Linked DNA regions of Danio rerio. The protein of the gene in region 2 purifies or fractionates together with the protein of the main gene of each other region. This does not show direct contact. Links are inferred from orthologs where the notes say so. Each region holds a gene or a part of one and is shown on either strand. Other genes may lie near its edges.

Evidence for each region.
Region 1: the proteins of chtopa (region 2) and erh purify together in Homo sapiens (affinity purification with mass spectrometry; 3 studies listed by BioGRID and IntAct, with this or other methods). This does not show direct contact. The link is inferred for Danio rerio from reciprocal best matches to the Homo sapiens genes CHTOP and ERH.
Region 3: the proteins of chtopa (region 2) and prmt1 purify together in Homo sapiens (affinity purification with western blotting; 7 studies listed by BioGRID and IntAct, with this or other methods). This does not show direct contact. The link is inferred for Danio rerio from reciprocal best matches to the Homo sapiens genes CHTOP and PRMT1.

Annotation. Positions count from the first base shown.
Region 1 is NC_133195.1:36,361,090-36,367,189, forward strand, and holds erh (enhancer of rudimentary homolog), read right to left. Parts: upstream 3,422-6,100; 5' UTR 3,291-3,421; coding exon 3,288-3,290; intron 2,679-3,287; coding exon 2,591-2,678; intron 2,299-2,590; coding exon 2,178-2,298; intron 795-2,177; coding exon 692-794; 3' UTR 206-691; downstream 1-205. Other genes in the region: paplnb (papilin b, proteoglycan-like sulfated glycoprotein), read right to left, coding at 5,909-6,100. UniProt on the Homo sapiens protein: May have a role in the cell cycle.
Region 2 is NC_133194.1:26,305,663-26,311,741, reverse strand, and holds the end of chtopa (chromatin target of PRMT1a), read left to right. Parts: intron 1-2,175; coding exon 2,176-2,310; intron 2,311-3,457; coding exon 3,458-3,657; 3' UTR 3,658-4,293; downstream 4,294-6,079. UniProt on the Homo sapiens protein: Plays an important role in the ligand-dependent activation of estrogen receptor target genes. May play a role in the silencing of fetal globin genes.
Region 3 is NC_133178.1:31,171,100-31,177,199, forward strand, and holds the start of prmt1 (protein arginine N-methyltransferase 1), read right to left. Parts: upstream 3,685-6,100; 5' UTR 3,594-3,684; coding exon 3,567-3,593; intron 2,588-3,566; coding exon 2,492-2,587; intron 2,401-2,491; coding exon 2,245-2,400; intron 2,113-2,244; coding exon 2,049-2,112; intron 1,676-2,048; coding exon 1,533-1,675; intron 1,427-1,532; coding exon 1,339-1,426; intron 1,247-1,338; coding exon 1,131-1,246; intron 1,045-1,130; coding exon 894-1,044; intron 789-893; coding exon 667-788; intron 1-666. UniProt on the Homo sapiens protein: Arginine methyltransferase that methylates (mono and asymmetric dimethylation) the guanidino nitrogens of arginyl residues present in proteins such as ESR1, histone H2, H3 and H4, FMR1, ILF3, HNRNPA1, HNRNPD, NFATC2IP, SUPT5H, TAF15, EWS, HABP4, SERBP1, RBM15, FOXO1, CHTOP, MAP3K5/ASK1, MICU1 and NPRL2.

The DNA.
Region 1 (6,100 bases), on a different chromosome or scaffold from region 2:
TATCAAGGCGACTCGTTTGAAGCACTATGAGTCGACTCTTTTTTAGATGAATCAACCGTTTTTAACACTGTACACTAACAGATTTAAGCCTTAGCTGGATACTCCACTTCACTTAGAGCTGTGTTACACACTACATGGAGGGGAATTTTCAAAAACCCATAATATGGGCTCTTTAGGCTAAGAAAAAAAGAAAAAAGCACTGACATTTCCACGTTTTTTGAGAAGAATTTTATTGTTTGCCAGTTTTTACTACTGGATGCACAAATCAGAGAGGGCCAACAAAACCTTTAACAACACAGAGGACAAAAGTTGGGATATAAGAATAACTCGGAACCATCTCAACAACATCTGAAATGTGTAAATGTTATACTTTACTAAATCAAAAATAAATCCACAATATAAAACATCATTAATTGGGAGGGATCGGGAGCAACAACAACGAAAAAAATCCTAAAACTTTTCTTTCCCCAATATTACCCTCTAGCCCGATAAATAACCCAAGTCCCGAACTCCGAAGTTACAAAAATGTGATTTAAAATGCAAAATATTTTCACTCTATGCTTTTGACATAACTCAAAGGACATGCATTCAACAAAATCTGAACCAGTTGGCATCAATTCACTGTTCAGTTCAGCCACGTCTGTCCTGTGATGAAGCGTAGTTGGGGACTAGTTCAATAATTCCACCGTCTTTATTTTCCAGCCTGTTGGGCCTGACGCCTCAACAGCACATAGATCTTTTCTTTGATCCAGTCTTTGTTGTAAGGCTGGTAGGTTTGTGTGTCCGCTCTGTACCTGTTCAAATAATTAAAGACAATTGTACATGATTGACGAGCATGAGCATTTAATAGGCCCTGTTTACACCGATATGTTTTAGTTTTAAAACGGCAATTAACAACAAAAACTATCCACATCCACACTGGCCATTTGCCTAGAATTTCGCCAAGGAGGAGAGATAATAGTACAGTCTTTTTGAGATACAGTCATACAGTCTTTTTGAAAGCAACATTTTTTGTCATCCTTACTGCAAACTTATATGAGCGATAATATCATTAAATGTTGAGGATGGCCTCACTATATTTTCCAGCAGAAAAGGGGGTCTCAGGCAAAAAAGGTTGGAAACCTATGGGTCTACAGGCTCCGTTTTCTTATAAATATGCATACTGTGAAGATGACAGTAATACAAGTATGTAGCTATACGATGCCTGAACATTTTTGGTGTCTATTTAAATCCTTATATCATGTTTTCATTGATTTTTTAAGATAGTGAAGCAGCGTAGTCAGAGTGACATGAATGACTATATGAACGCTGTGATTGTTATAAAGTACACTGTTCCCATTGAAAATTTACCCGACGTGTCCTCAGGAGGTAGTTTTCCATATAAAACTTGCAAAGTCTGAACTTTCAAGGAAAGGATGCAAGACTGAACTTAATATTGCATTTAATATTGGGAAAAGGCCTGAATCCGATCCGTTTTGAGCCTCTATTTTTCAGCAGTATTTTAACACTTTAACTTCCCCACCAAGAACTTTTTCTTGGGATTGCATTTCTTAAATTCTAAAGTTAACACACTCGATGCATTTTTTCCCCATCACATCCCATAATTTTAAAAATATCAACCGCTACCAAGTGGATAATATGTTGGTTTATGGTAAAAGTACTAAGAATCAATACACATACTATAAAAATTCTAAAAACATGAAGTGTAAGACTAATTTATAACAATATGACTCATTTTAAAACAATTTAAATAAAACATTTTAAATACTGAATCATCTTTATTTTTTTAAGTATGCCATACAATATTTCTTATTATTAAATAATTCAAGATTTCTTTTTTTTGCTTTTTACAATAAAATCAAAACTAAGTGTAGTAGTGCAAGAGGATTATGTTTGTTAGATTTTTTGTAAAGCAACAATGCTGTTTGTGTAAACCTTAATTTAAAACAATCAAAATATGGTCAACCATTTGATAGAGCAGACAGTTAAAGGGTTAACACAAAAGCGACCTCTTCAGCATTTCCAAAACACTCCGCTTTCAATGATCTAAAACTCTGGGGTAATCTGAACGGAAGACGTCACTGTAGCAAAACTTATGCGTTTTAAAACTAAAACTTTTTAGTGTAATCGGGACCTTAGACATTAGGCTTTGTCAAGTGAAAAGTGTGATTACTTACACAAGACAGCTGAGATCGGCAAGATCATCAACAAAGTCGAATAACTGGCTTATGTCATATGTGATGGAGGGACTGTTGGGATTCATTCTCTTCAGATGCTCTTCATACATCTTACACACTCCTTTTGGTAAGAAGGAAAATGGTTAAACACGCATTAAAAGTAGTAGTGCAATATTCAGTGTACAATAAAGATAGTTCACCCCAAAAAAAATTTGTTTTCTCTTCACAGTTACAAAACCAGTTTGAGTTTCTTACTTTCTGAAGACATTTTAAAGAGAGGTGAAATCCTAAAGCCACTGACTTCCATAGTTTTTGTTTTTTCTACTATGGTCAATAGTTCAATTTTTGGGTGAACTATCCCTTTAAAGCATTATAATTGTTTATAACACACACAAAGAAAAGAATTATCCTACCTTCCATACATTCGTTGACAGACTCATAATCTGCATATGTTCTGCCTTCTGGTCTCTTGGTGGGCTGCACCAGCAGAATTGTGTGAGACTGAACGATAATAAAGAAAAAAACATTTTATTGTGTTTATATCATAAATCAAGTAAAAGTTAGAAACACTACATATCTAGACGACGAATTAAACAATTGCGTGGAGCCCCCTACTGACAGGAACACAGCTTTGGCTCCTGACAGTGAGATTAATCGTGCGTTCATTTCAAAAACATGACGTGTTGTTTAGTTATTCATGTTTGACGTATGAACTAAATACACTTTGGGAATATAACGTTAGCTGATATGGATGCTTTGACACAATACCCAGAAAACAGCAGCTGTTGTACTCGAACCCTCCCCCAAACTAAAACACTACATGTTCCTCACAAACACTGATATTACCAATACTGAAGCTGAACAGGAGTTTGTTCCGGTCGAACTTTCAACAAAGAACCTAACTTTGCATGTGTGGTATTTCGAGACACATGAAAGCTCGCTGTGTTGAGGATTATTCGACGTTCTCTCGTAACACACTGCTAGCCGCGCGCGTTCGTTCACTTTTATTTTTGTTGAATGTGTTGGAGCAGTCGGTGAAACGCGATTTTTCTGATATGGTGGCTGTCTAAGGATATATACGAGTAGAAAAAACATCGACAAAATACTTACCATATCTGGTCCTGATGTATAAAAGTGGCGTTGAACGCTGGGGTAACCACTGACGGCTATTCACTGTTAGCAGCGAAGGAAACAGCAGGAATGTTCAAGAAACGATCACACTTCCGGTGTAGGCGAAGCGTTGGCTTTTCAAGATAAAAGCTTTTTCACTGTTACGGAAATGGTATTTATTTTTGTCGTTAATGACATTACTTATAATTTTTACTTCATATTTTGTATTCATTATTTTGATGTAATATTCAAATGACTGCAAGTGAAAAAGAAGTCAGCCTATTTACTATTATTTATGGATAAACGATGTATATAAGACTTTGCAATACTGTTTACAAATATTTGTTTAAATTTTGTACACACACACGTACACACACACACACACACACACACACACACACACACACACACACACACACACACACACACACACACACACACACACACATAAATAAAAATTAAATATTAGAAATAGGCTTTACAATATTATTTACAAATATTTCTATATTTAAATTTTTATAATTTAATGATTTTATTTTATTTATCCTGTAATTTTAACCTACATCACAAATACATAGTATAGTTTTTATCATCAAAATGTTATATCTGTAACAATGGTTTACAAAATTATAAATTCTTATTGTCACACATTTGTACCTAATTTATATATATTTTTAATTTAATAATAAAAAAATAATAATAATTTTAGGGTCAGTATTATTAGCTTACTTGTGATATAGATGTGAATTATTAGCATTTTGTTTTTGATTGATTGCTTGTCTTGATAACTTGTCGAATGTAAAACTAATAAATAACTTTTGATAAGCCTTTAAATCGTAGTTTAAAAGTACTGTATGTTTTGACTCTTCTAAAGCATAAAAATACTATAATATGTTTGCAGATGTTTAGTAAACATGCCACATGAACATTCTTGTTTATCTGAAAAACAATGTTAAAGTCAGATATTCTGCTTTGTAAATGTAAGTTATGTGCCGGAACGTCTGTCTCTGTTTTGGTTATTTTAACCCACCTATTGCAACTTTAGATTATATTTTAGCACCCCGGGTTGCCTTGGTGAAAAACGGAGCAATTCATTCATTCATTCATTCATTCATTCATTCATTCATTCATTCATTCAGTAACTCATTCATTCATTCAGAAAGGCTCTCAAAGCATGGTTCCATGACCACAACGCTACCTCCGTGAGAAAGTAGCAGACTCTGGAATGAGACGCAGATTCAGTTCCACATGAGGTTATTAATTTGCAAATAATATAAATATTACGAGTGTAAACATTAGGTGAGCAGGTTACATTGTAACCGCATGCCCTAACAACATGCTACATGACAAGATTAGTAGTTATTAGCAATTTAGCTGTTTGCACCAGAAGAAACATGAAAGAAATTTAAATAAAGACATTTAGAGGCACAGAATATGTACTCACTCATGAAAAGGTAAGTTTTAAAAAATCTATTTAATACATATTAAACCTCTTTGACATTATTAAATGTAGATGCTGAATCACTCATTTGTGTTGTCTTGCACTGAGTCACAATTCTAAAGTTCAATCAGTTTATTTTATTTTCAATATCTGAGGTGAACTATCTGCTGCTGCTTTCAGTATATGGCAATAGATGTCATGTAAAATGCCATCCAAACTCACATTGTTAACATTTAACACTGAATAAAGCACATGAGGTGACCATTGTCAAAGTTTTCTGTTGTTCAGCTGCAAGATATAGAAACTGTTTCTAATTTATCAATTGAAGGAGTTTGTTAGGACAAAATAAATGAATAATATTCCTTCTATCCTTCTATTACGTAGCTTTTGTATAGAACGCAGTTTAAATCAGCCTTTAGGCTAGACAGTCAGACTCGCCTGTATTGGTCGTCACTCTAATAACCTGCGCATGCGTTTGTTTTGATCCAGGAATGTAATACAGCTCAATAAATTTACATACTGCACCTTTGCAAAGTATAAAAGCATCTTTCAAAATAACTAAAAGATTCTGTCAGCACATACAAAGACAAAAGTTTTAAAGCATGTTGGAAGATGATCGCCTCTTCATTAAACGTCACTTAATATTTGAATAAATATAAATATTTGAAACTATTTAATAATTTTATTAAATGTAATAATAACAAATATAATAATAATATATAATCTATCTATCTATCTATCTATCTATCTATCTATCTATCTATCTATCTATCTATCTATCTATCTATCTATCTATCTATCTATCTATCTATCTATCTATCTATCTATCTATCTATCTATCTACACCCACCCATCCATCCATCCATCCATCCATTCATCTACATGCAAGATTAGATATATTCAAGTTAATTCTTCAGTGCAGTTGGTTTGTGTTAACACTTTAATGGCTTAGGAAGAGTATACAACCAAAGTACTTACACCGAAACATAAAAAGAAAGGAAATTATCTTTAGCTTTGATGCAGTCATGTTTGATAAAGTGTTTCTCTCTCATCCCTTAAAAAAGCTTAGTTTAAACAAATCAATGCCAGTAGATGTCAGTATAAACCCAAGACTGCTTTCAAATCAGCACAATTGAAGTTTTATCTACATGTTTATGAGTTGGATTTGTCTGGACATTTATTATGCACGGGATCTCACTCTATAACCTCTGACATCGTAGATCACTCTCCTGGACGTTGGTTCTCTTCCTCTGACAGAAGCCTTACACGTCCGCTCGCACGCCACCTTGGAGACAAAGTTATTGCCATTTCCTTGGCATCCACCAAACCAGAACTGGGAGCAAGAGCCAGAGGAATGATCAAAGTAGAAGCG
Region 2 (6,079 bases):
GAGCTAGCATTAATCAGATTCACACTGCATCCATGTTAGCTTGTCATGTTTGATGTGGTAATTTCAGAGTAGAAATACACTGGTTTGAAGACTCGTTCTCGCCACCCACAGTGCAATTCCGCCAAGTAAACATCAACGCTAAAATATCAAGGTAAAAGTCATCATAGCTTGTGTAGAACAGATCCAGCTCCCAACCCAACTTTGAGAACAGACTAACAGCTAAACAGTGACTAACAGTGTTTGTTTTTTAAATCACCTGATGGGAGTCTCGCGTTAACGCTGATAACGCCCACCACTTTATATAGGGTGTTCGCGGGGTCTTAAAGTATCAAAAGTAGATCAATCAATTATGAGATAATTAAGGCCCTTAAAAGTTACTAAAAAAATCTTAATCGCATTTTGTTCTCCAAAGTGTACCAGTGTAAATATATTTATTTTTCTCCTAATATTAACAATAGCGTGCCAGTTCCACACGATTGGTTCGGGCCGGGACACGTCCGGCCAAGCTTCTCTGTCCGGGTGGTGACAAATGCAGGACGGTAATGTGACACTCTCTACATGTAGAGAAACAGGTGGTAAATAGGAAAATGTAAGTTTGCATACTCCTGGTTGAAGAAAGTTGAGTTTAAACAGTGGCTCAATCCTGTCTCTGAAAACAACCCTGTAATTTATTCTTTCAAGCTTGGTTTCTTCCGAGCTTATCTGAATTCTGTTGCATGGTTGATTTAACTACAACTGTTTATTAAAGGTGCAGTAGGTCATTGTCTTCAGAAGCATTTTTTGTTGTGCTGGTTCAAAGTCTCTTCACAGTCTAATAGTAATGATTACAGTAAATGATCTAAATGTATTTATATGTATTTTTATATTTTGGGTAAGGCATAAAACAAAAAAATGTTCATCCTATTAAATGGAGTCCGACCGACATCTCTCAATTCCGATAAGTAGCACAATCTCTTTGCAAGCAAATGCAGATTTGAACAACTGCGCAGCTGTTTGTACGCATCTCCGCCGACTGAGATCGGTAAAAACATGCTGAATCAAAACTTTTTAAAAACCTGAATCAGTATTGGAGTTACCTTTGCATGCTGGAGAAAGGATGACAACATGTCTGAAAGATTTCTCTTAGACAAGTAATGTTCTGTTTTAAAACTGTTTTAACTTCACGCAAAGCTGATGTAACGTTGTTACAAATGGGTTAAATCTTAACAGAAATGTTGTTCAGCTACTAAAATATTTCGATGAAGGACTGATGAGACTATTTTCAGTTTCATAAGAGACCTTTTACAGCATCGATGATGTACATTTTATTTAGTTTAACAACTAAACACAAGTAAATACAGCTAAACGCCTAGTCTCTCCCTATATTGTTTACCATGCAACTCTAAATATTCCCTCTAAAATCGCATGTCAGTTTGGCTTGCACGCCGCCGGACAAGCACTAGTTGTTTTTAACACATGAGAGAGGGTTCTTTTGCGGTGCTCGTGTTTCAGGAGGCGTAGCTCTTAGACGGCAGGGGAGGCACTGTGATTCAGAGATTTATGCTAAGCTGTTAGCATTGTAGAAGATCACCTACTGCAACTTTAAGTTAAAGGTTTGATACTGATTAGCACTTGCAGTAGTGATGAGGTCTTAAAATATTCCGAGAAGGTCTTTTAAACCGTTTTAAAAAGGTATTGAAATTACCTTTTAGGATTCTTGCATATACCCTGTTATAGCTCTTGGACCAGGGTGAGATCAACCCACACTTTCTCCAATCCCTGGGGCTCTATGATGGTTGTGGATATTTCAAATTGAATCATAACAAATGATTACAATTGACTGAGATTGTCATTGAACGTTCGCAAATGTGCTTTAACTGGCAGAGCAGCAAAATCTCTCTCTCTCTCTCTCTCTCTCTCTCTCTCTCTCTCTCTCTCTCTCTCTCTCTCTCTCTCTCTCTCTCTCTCTCTCTCTCTCTCTCTCTCTCTCTCTCTCTCTCTCTCTCTCTCTCTATATATATATATATATATATATATATATATATATATATATATATATATATATATATATATATATATATATATATATATATATATATGATCAGACCTGCTTAAAGAGAACTATTGCATGCATCCCACAAGTGTTTTTTCTTTTCTTCTTGTGAAAAGATTGCTCTTTTTTTTTTTTTTTCCTAGGTGCAGGTCAGATGAGAGGTAGAGGTGGTCCTGGACGCATGGGTTTCCGCCGAGGGATGCGTCATCGGGGAGGAGCTCCAGGACGAGGAGCTCTAGGAGGTCGAGGTGCAGCACGTGGAATGCCTGGAGGAAGAGGTGAGAAATATTAAGCACAATTCTGCCAAGTACAGGGTTCTTACGGGTGCTGGAAATCCTGGAAAATGCTTGATTTTTAATATAGTGTTTTTAAGGTTAGAAAAGTGCTTGTGTTTTGAACAAAGTGCTTGAACCTGCTTGAATTTGAACTTAAAGGGCTCAAAATTGTGACCGTTTTGGTTGCATATGCGCACGATTTTATCTATGTGACCTCGAAATATATTTGGAAGCATGTGTGCTAGTGCATAAATTGTTGTCGTGCGACCAGTTTTCATTGCAAAATGTTCACCGCATGCGCGTATTTATGGAGCTAATAATAAGCCAAAACATTCTGAATCTGAATGTCCTATTAAAAAAAGTTTTGAATTTGTATTTCTTAACTTGATTATTGAACATCTGAAAACTTAATATTTGAAGTCAGATTTTTATAGACATTTTTAAACTTCAGATTTTTTTTGGGTTCTGAATTCATGCAGATATTGGGTATGTAAAAATAAGACTGCAGATATTGGGTATGTAAAAATAAAGTTTTACGTTTTTAGGAATTCAAATTAACAATTCAAATTCGGATAGTTTTGGCACTATTAGCTTCATACGTATTTTGGAGACATTCATCCAGAATGCATCTTTTGCACCTGAAATGCAAAACCAAAGACTGTAAAAAAAAAAAATAGTGACTGGTCCTGAAAGTTTGGTACTACACCCAAACAAAATCTGACTGTAAGCTCATTTCTTAAGATATCAACTTTAGGTAGAAAGAGGCCAAACTTAAAAACATACTTCACCCAATAACTGAACATTTTTTTATTTATTTTTTAATCACTTTTGGGTGAACTATCCCAATAAATCTATGCTCTAAAGTACTCAATTTAAGTTGAAATGTCATATCGTGTGGTTTTTAAAGTAGCACAATGTATTTAAATGTGAAAAAGTACATACAACATGTATAAGTGCAATTAATTATTACTATTAGGTGCTGGAAAAGCATGCAAATGCACCTTGAAAGTGCTTGAAAAGTGCTGGAATTTGAAGTTGGAAAAGGTGTAAGAACCCTGCTAGTAGTGTTTTCAGTTTTGCTCTAATCAGTGAAACCCATACAAAAAGCATTTTCCATCTCACCATACTAAAGCATTTCGTTCTCTCTTAGGCCGTGGAGGTATGAGAGGCCGTGGAGGGTTTGCTGGAAGGGGTCGTGGACGTGGCAGAGGCAGAGGAGCAGGTCGTCCCATCGTCACACGCGAGCAGTTGGACAACCAGCTTGATGCGTACATGTCTAAAACCAAAGGCCATCTGGATGCAGAGTTGGATGCGTATATGGCCCAGGCAGATCCTGAGAGTATGGAGTAGACCCTGTTGAGCTGAGACACAGCAGCTCCCAAAGATCTGCAAATAATAGACTGATCGATGACATAATCATCCAGTACCGTTTAAGCTTCCGCTGCTGTTGGACACTCCCTAAGACATTTACATTTTAAGGCGTTCAGACTTGAAGTTTGTACAAAGTTATGAATTTATCCCAGTTACATTCAGAGATTTGAGAGTTTTCACTCGCGGCTTCTGAATACAATCACAAATCCTCATCACAAGTTATAGTTCTAAAACAGAGGGCCTGTTAGGAAAAATGTTGGCTGTTAAGTGAAGGAATTTTGTTGTTGATTGAACTGTAATAAGAGATTGTACCTCTGCTATTTTTGGCTGAAATTCTGAAAATGGCCTAAATGTGTGAACAGTGAACTCCAAATGACATTTGATGACTCTGTGGTAAAAATGTGGCTTGTGTAAATGAACAGATGTTAATGACTGTAATGTTCTACACGTCACTTACCTTTTTATTATTATATTTTTATTTAGTATTTTTTAAGGTAGAACTTTTATTCATTACATACAGTCTTGTTTTTGTCAAAAAATGTTTTAACTATATTGTAACCCACAAACTTTTTTTTCTTTTTTCTTTTGGCATCGAATAAATCTTGGCTAATAAGATCTTGTGCTCTGGAGGACATTATCATTCTAGACATTCATTTTCATCACCGGGAAACATCCATCCATACATATACACGCATACTCTGCGGCCAATTTAGCTTACCCAATTCACCTGTACCGCATGTCTTTGGACTTCTGGGGCAAACGAGAGCACCCGGAGGAAACCCATGTGAACATGGGGAGAACATGCAAACGCCACACAAAAATGCCAACTGACTCAGCTGAAGCTTGAAACAGGGACCTTGCTGTGAAGTGATTGTGCTACCTACTGTGCCACTGTGATGCCCTCTTTCTAGACATCATTAACATGAATGATCATGTGGTATTCACTTTTTTTCTTCTTTTTTTCTCTTCTCCAACATGTTTTAATTTTAGTCTAAAAAGTAGATACAAAAGTGGTTTATGTATGCTTATTAAAAAATGTATAACTTTTGTTTCTGCTTATTTGGTAATAAAAAAAATCATTTGAATGTTTAAATTGTGCATGCTGCATTTCTCTCAATAGGTAGATAGATGCGTAAACTTGGGTACTGTGTGTGTGTGCGCAAGGAAATAAATGCAGCATTCAAAATTCAAACATTTTCCTTTGGCTTATACCCTTAATTCATCAGGCGTTAGCACATTGGAATGAACCGCCAACTTATACAGCATGTTTTGCACAGCGAATGACCTTCCAGCTGCAACCCAGTACTGGAAAATATCCAAACACACTCATTCGCACATTCTCTACGGCCAATTTAGTTTATTCAATTCACCTATAGCGCATGTCTTTGGACTGTGGGGAGAGAACATGCAAACACCACACAGAAATGCCAACTGACCCAGCCGGGAATAGAACTAAGGACTGAGCCATTCTCACCCCTAAAATATTAATAAAAAAAAAGTATATTTATGTAGTCAGAAGCTTTGACTGGAGGGTATAAATCAATTTGACTTGCATGTAAATGTATATTTGGTAGTCGGCTTGCATGTTTATTTTTATAAAATTTTGATTTGTATTGCATTATGTACATATATTTTATGTTACTATTTTTTTTTTTCTTAAAATATATCACCAAGGGTGGATTTAGCAGTTTGGGGGCCTCAAGCAACAAAAAAATAAAGTCATTTGAATGTTTAATATTGGGGCCCACGTCTTGAAATGCACCCTTTCTGCTTTTATTTAATGTTTATTTAATTTTATTTATTTATTCTATTATCTTCTTTTCTATATCTTATTTTAATCTCTACATTTTAAATGATTAGTTTTCTTAAAGTAAATAAACAACTTAAATTCATATATATATTTTAAATAGATTTGACTGCCGGACTTCTCCATGATTGTGAGTGGTGGATATTTTATTTTAGAATATTATTATTACATTACATTATTATAATAATGTAATATTTTAGTATGTATTAAATATTTTTTAATTATGTAAGATGTATTTGTTTGACCCTTACAATACAAAATATGATAGAAAGCTATGTAATATATAGTTTATAGTTTAATGTATAGTATAATTTATACTTCTAGATATTTATTGATGGACTCCAGATTTCCTGGGCTCTAAGTGGCCGCTTACCTCGCTTATTGGGTTTATCCTGTCTATCACTTCAGTAAAACAATACTTCATAGCGAGAAAAACTAATTCAACACCGAAGCCTTTTTTTATTGCATAACAAAAACAAAAGAATGCAAAAAAAAGAAGAAGAGGAATACAATGCCCACATTTGTTTTTTTACATCAAAGGACCACATCAATAGAGAATAATATAAATAAAATAACAGGAGAAATATAAATAAA
Region 3 (6,100 bases), on a different chromosome or scaffold from region 2:
TCAGTGAACAGCACTTTTATGTCTAAAGCCAATCACAGCTGTTTCTGTCAAACGGGTGAAGACAATAACCAGTCATAGAGGCAAGACCTCACTCAACAACGCTCAAAGCAAGTGGGATAATATTTCCATAAGTTTATTGCCTAAAAATGCTCATGTTGTCTTCTGTGTATGTATTGGGAGTTTTGTTTGATACCTTGAAAAAGAGTGTTTTCTTTGAGCAGGTCAAATTAAAGGTACAGTTCATATATCTTACTTCTTGTATTAAAGGACAAAATTGTGTTACAAATAATATATAAATATTAATATATTTTCAGATTTTAATAAAAAAAAAAATAGTGTTGGGAGAAAAAAAAAAAAACTCATTTTGCACTGAGATATCGAATTAAACTGAATCGATGGCATGATAATCGTTACCGAACCGTGAGACCAGTGTAGGTTAACACCCCTAATTAATATTAAAGAAAGTGAAAACGTTTAGAAGTGATTAAGTTGTAATTTTACAATATAATTTCCAAATGAAGAGCTTTTAGACTTCATAAATTAGAAACTGGAAAAATGTTCAATTTAATACAGAAATCAACCCATTAAAATGGTAACAAGATATATATGACCATCCCTACACTTTCACTAAAGGTGCTAAAAGTAAGACGTGCACACAAGGCTCACATTATTCTTGACGTTGGGCTTCATGCTGATAGTGCCAAAGATCTCCTCTCCAGTCTTTACTGTCAGATAGTCATCAAGGTAGAACACAGTCTGCTTCCAGTGAGTGTAAGGAGACTCTGGGCCTGCAAGCAAAACTCACTTTAAACAGGGTTCAACCATCCTTCAATACAATAAACTCGTGGTGAATACAAAGTGATTTTGTGGTGAACACCACACACAGCACTTACTGGTAGAGAAGCCTGTCCTCTTGTGGCAGCGAGTGAACTCTATGTTGAAGTAGGTTACCAGAGCATGAATGTAGTCGTTTCTTTTCACCTGCAGGCAGAAAGGTGACGTGAAGGACAGGTCCTCAATCTTCACGGTGTAGATGTCCACCTCCTAAGGAATCAAGAAAACGTATTGAATATTAAATGAGGAAAGCAGGGATTATGTGAACATTGGAAAATAAAAGGTTGCAAACAAACCTTAATTAAGCAAGCAGTGCTAACAAGCTGTTTGGGATCAACAACATCCACCAGCGGCTCTGTAATGGCCACTTCCTTAATACAGGACATGTCAAATCCATACACGTTCTCCCACCCTAAAAAAGTGCAAATATGAAACAATTAAATGAGTTACTGCTTTAAAGAAAGCTGAACAGACTCAAGAGTGCATTAAGAGATTGATGCGTACAGTGGATTTTGTAATCCTTGTACTGCCGATCCTCGATAGCAGTGACATAGAGGGTGGCTCTGTCAGGAAAAATCAGGCCATCAGGTTTCTGAAAGCCAACAATGGAAAACGTGAACAGTGATTAAATCAAGAAAGCACATACGATTTTATACTGAACAGTTTCAACATGGTAAAAGACATTAGCATACACCCACCAGCCATTTGTCCCTGGCATAAATGACGGTGTTAAGCATGGATTCATAGAAGAGACAGTAGCCCATCCACTCAGAGATGATTATGTCTACATTTTCCACAGGAAGCTCGACCTCCTCCACTTTGCCCTTAATTATAGTGACGACTGGACAGGAAAAAGTACATGGTTAAAAATTTTAGGTACATAAAGAATAAAATGGGTATAGGCCAAAACTGTTAATCCAAAACTGAAAATGGTCATTGTTTAACCTCCCCTCACTCATTCTAAACCTGTGATTTTCTTCTGTTGAACACAAAAGATGATATTTTGAAGAAAGATGCAAACCTGTCACTACGGTTACCAGTTTACAGCTTTCTTCAAAATATCTTCTTTGGTGTTCAACAGGAAAAAAAGAAACTGATAGGTTTAGAACCACTTGAGAGGGAGTAAAACTTCATTTTTGGGTGAACTATCCCTTGAAACATGCTGAGAAAATAAGTTAACAATGAAGATGCCAAAAGCTCTGAGAAGGCCTTACTATGATCCAGCTTGTTGGCCTTCACAATCTTCACAGCATAGTCTGATATACTGCTGCACTCAATCTAAGGAATAAATGACCAACAAATTAATAAATTAATCTGACAATACACAGCATGATCAAATAATACCACATACAAATAAATGGCTTAAATGTAACAAAAATGCTTTAAATAAATCATGGGACTACTTCTCACCCCAATAACTTTCTTGGCTCCAGCTTTGGCTGCAAACATACAGAGGATGCCAGTACCACTTCCCACATCCAGCACAACTTTATCTTTGAAGAGATGCTTGTTGTGAAACATGGAGTTTCTGTACGTCAAAGTACGAACTTCATCTTTTAGCATCTCCTGTGAAGATTCAATGGGTTTACATTAATTATAAATAAATTAAATTGACTTCACCACTAATGCTGAGATTAATGAACTAACAAGAAAGTACCTCATGAATGCCAAAGTGTGCATAGGAATCAAAGTAATAGTCTTTGGACGTCATGTCTTCAGCTGCAGGTTTCGCTGAGCTCTCTCCCTGGGACACCTCAATTTCAATAGATAAGAAAAATGTAAATAAGCAAGTAAAGTCATGAGCTGGGCTTTTCTCAAACATTTGCAGTATCTTCAGTATATTAAAACAAACAAGCAAGCAATAAGGTACTAGTCAAGAGATGACCCAAAACATGTTTAAACCAAACATGCCAAGTGTAAATAACCCTGAGTAAACAGTGTTTTTACACAGAACTACATAAAGTCGGTGGCTTCCTCTGAATTTAGTTCCAACTTTTGGCAAATATCACAGCAGGCAATGAACCATTTTACACATTTTTTTTTAAAATGGATAGTTAAGCAAAAAAAGTCATATTTTATCTTCACACGCCTAACGTTAACCTTTGAAGAGTCCTCTTAAGCTTAAATTTTTCTACTTTTTAATTATACACATTTGAGGAAAAGTGGTCTAAAAGAAAACTTAGTCACGACGCAAGTACTAGATCATAGTAAACAATACAGGATGTTTTATTAAAAAACCCAATCACTGTGATTAGCAGAGAGGAAAAAAAAGCGTAACGTTAGCTCCTATCCATCAGTCCCATGCGGTCTCTGCCCAACAATAAGTCATTGAAGTCCTCCGCCAGCGTGCTCACGTGGAAACTGAACAGCGAGCTAACGGTAGCTAACATGACAGAAATATTCATACATTTAATCTCAAAATTCATCTGTGGTTACACTCAACAACTAAAAACTCGAAGCTAGCTCAAATTTAGCACATTAGCACTAGCATACACGTGATGCGAAATGAATGAATTATCTGCGGCAGGCTAAAATGGATGCTCAAGATGCGTGTGCGCACATTTCTAGCCACCTGATAACTACATACGCAGCAATCAAATCTGTTCACAGACCAAAGATTCGGAACCGGCGTGTGACGTAAATAAAATCGCCGTGTCGATTCTGATACGGTTACGAGATATTTAGCATCAGAAGCGTTTTTGGCGAACCGGCCTTGAGTAGCTTCAGCTTACCTCCATTCTGTCTGCCGTCTCCGCCATTTCGATAAACTGGACACAGCCGCGACTGCAGCAAAGCTCATGTAAAACACACTTGTTTTGCTCCCGCCTCTTTGCTGTGACTGTATGATTTGATTGGGTGACAATCACGTGGTTTTACAATAACCACACCCACTTTCCTGCGGCTCTTCGTCATAGGCTTTTCTACTATGCGTTTTTCCGCTCTTTTGATGCGTGACTGTCATTGGTCCAAACTGTAACATGATTATTATTTATTTATTTTATCTCAAATATTATTTTACAGAATTTTACTGTGAATCCAACATTTATTATTTTGGGTTGTAGATACAAATTTAATGTCTGCTTCACAATAAACCCTATTCTATTTTTATGTAAATTTTATATTCATTTATTCGTTTTCCTTCTGCTTAGTCCCTTTATTAATCCGGGGTCGCCACAACGGAATGAACCGCCAACTTATCCAGCAAGTTTTTACGCAGCAAATGCCCTTCCAGCTGCAACCCATCTCTGGGAAACATCCACACATGCATTCACACACGCACTCACACACTATGGACAATTTAGCCTACCCAATTCACCTGCACCGCATGTCTTTAGACTCTGGGGGAAACCGGAGCACCCGGAGGAAACCCACGCAAACGCAGGGAGAACATGCAAACTCCACACAGAAACGCCAACTGAGCCAAGGCTCGAACCAGCGACCCAGCAACCTTCTTGCTGTGAGGCGACAGCACTACCTACTGCGCCACTGCTTCGCCCTGCCTATATTTTATATTTATAAATAAAATTTTCAAATATAAAATCCACTTGTGTATTTTATACAAGAGATCAAAATTTACTTACAATTCCAGATTCACTTAACAAGAATGCACTCAAAACGTAAACAATTTGCACAACATGTGTAATCTATTAAATATCCCAATCTTTGTTATCTTTTTTATTTTGCCCTTTTTATTTTCAATTTCATTATCTGTTGCATCTATTCTCAGATTAGATAACCTATTGATATCATATTTCTTTGTTTTGATTTCTGTTGTTTTTTGTTCTTGTGTTGTTTCTTTATTGGTACCATTGTAAATAATATAATTATTATTGTAAATGTTATGTACCAAATGTATCTATATGTTGTACAATAAATATGAAAAAATATTTTATTTTGCACAAGTTTCTGTATTCCATTTTATTTCTGTTTATGGAACACAGTGGCTTAGTGGTTAGCACTGTCGTCTCACAGTAAGAAGGTCGCTGGTTTGAGCCCCAGCTGGGTCAGTTGGCATTTCTGTGTGAAGCTTGCATGTTCTCCCTGTGTTGGCGTTGGTTTCCTCCTGGTGTTCCGGTTTCCCCCATAGACCAAAGCCATGTGTTATAGGTGGATTGAATAAATTAAATTGGTGTAGTGTATGAGTGTGAATGAGTGTGTATGGATGTTTCCTGGTACTAGGTTGCAGCTGGAAGGGCATCCGCTGTATAAAACATATGTTGGATAAGTTGGCGGTTCATTCTGCTGTGGCGTCCCCTGATGAATAAAGGGACTAAGATGAAGGAGAATGAATGAATTATGGTTTCATTGTTTTCATGTAAATTTTATTAGTTGGACTTTTGTCAAGCTAATAGAAAAGCTTACAAAATCTTTTTAGGAAACCATCCTTTAGTCATGTGTTTTGTTCACAAAATAAACTATATGGTTATAATTATACAAAGTAAGCAAAGTTTGCAAAGTAAGCACATTTCTAAAAAAAAGAAGGCATTGATAAAATAGGAGACAATAATGATTATTTACAAAACAACATCTGGAGAAAATGGATGTTTGTACATTATCATACTATGGGATTTAGCTCAGATTAAGACCAATGTCCTCCTTGTTACATCTTCTATGAGAAAAAAAAGTTAGTTTGGTAATTTTTTCATTTTTCATACTTAACAGGAAATAATATTGTTTGGACAACATTCTTGAGAATATGATCTTGTATTTATGTATCATGGCAAACAATTTTTAAAGAACACCAGTGTGAGCAAATGGTGACACTTTTTCTTTGATGAATAGTTCCTATAAATCAAAGTTTACATTATATAACATTGTTCAGTTCCTGGTGAATTGTAACAGAGACCATACAAAAAGAAAATATATTTATTTACCATGTACAAGATGGTTATGCATCATCAAATATAGCTTACTTTGTTGAAAAAAACAAACATATTTGCAACGAATGCTGTAAACAAATCAAATGTGTAATTTTATTAATAATATATTCAACATATTTTATCTTTTTAATTTATTTATTTATACTGCAGTGGGTACCTAACTGAATTGGCCACCATTGTCCACAATAAACATATTTGATATTGCCTTAAATGCTAAATTTAATTAAAGAGATTTAGAAAATGCCTCAAAAACTGTAAGATTTAATTAGTTTAGATCATTGGACAAGTGAGTGCTGCATACTGTTGACAATACTGAGCTAAAGCTTTACTTCACATAATTAAATTAGAAATCATATTGCAATCTCTGTCAGACAAATCGCAATTAG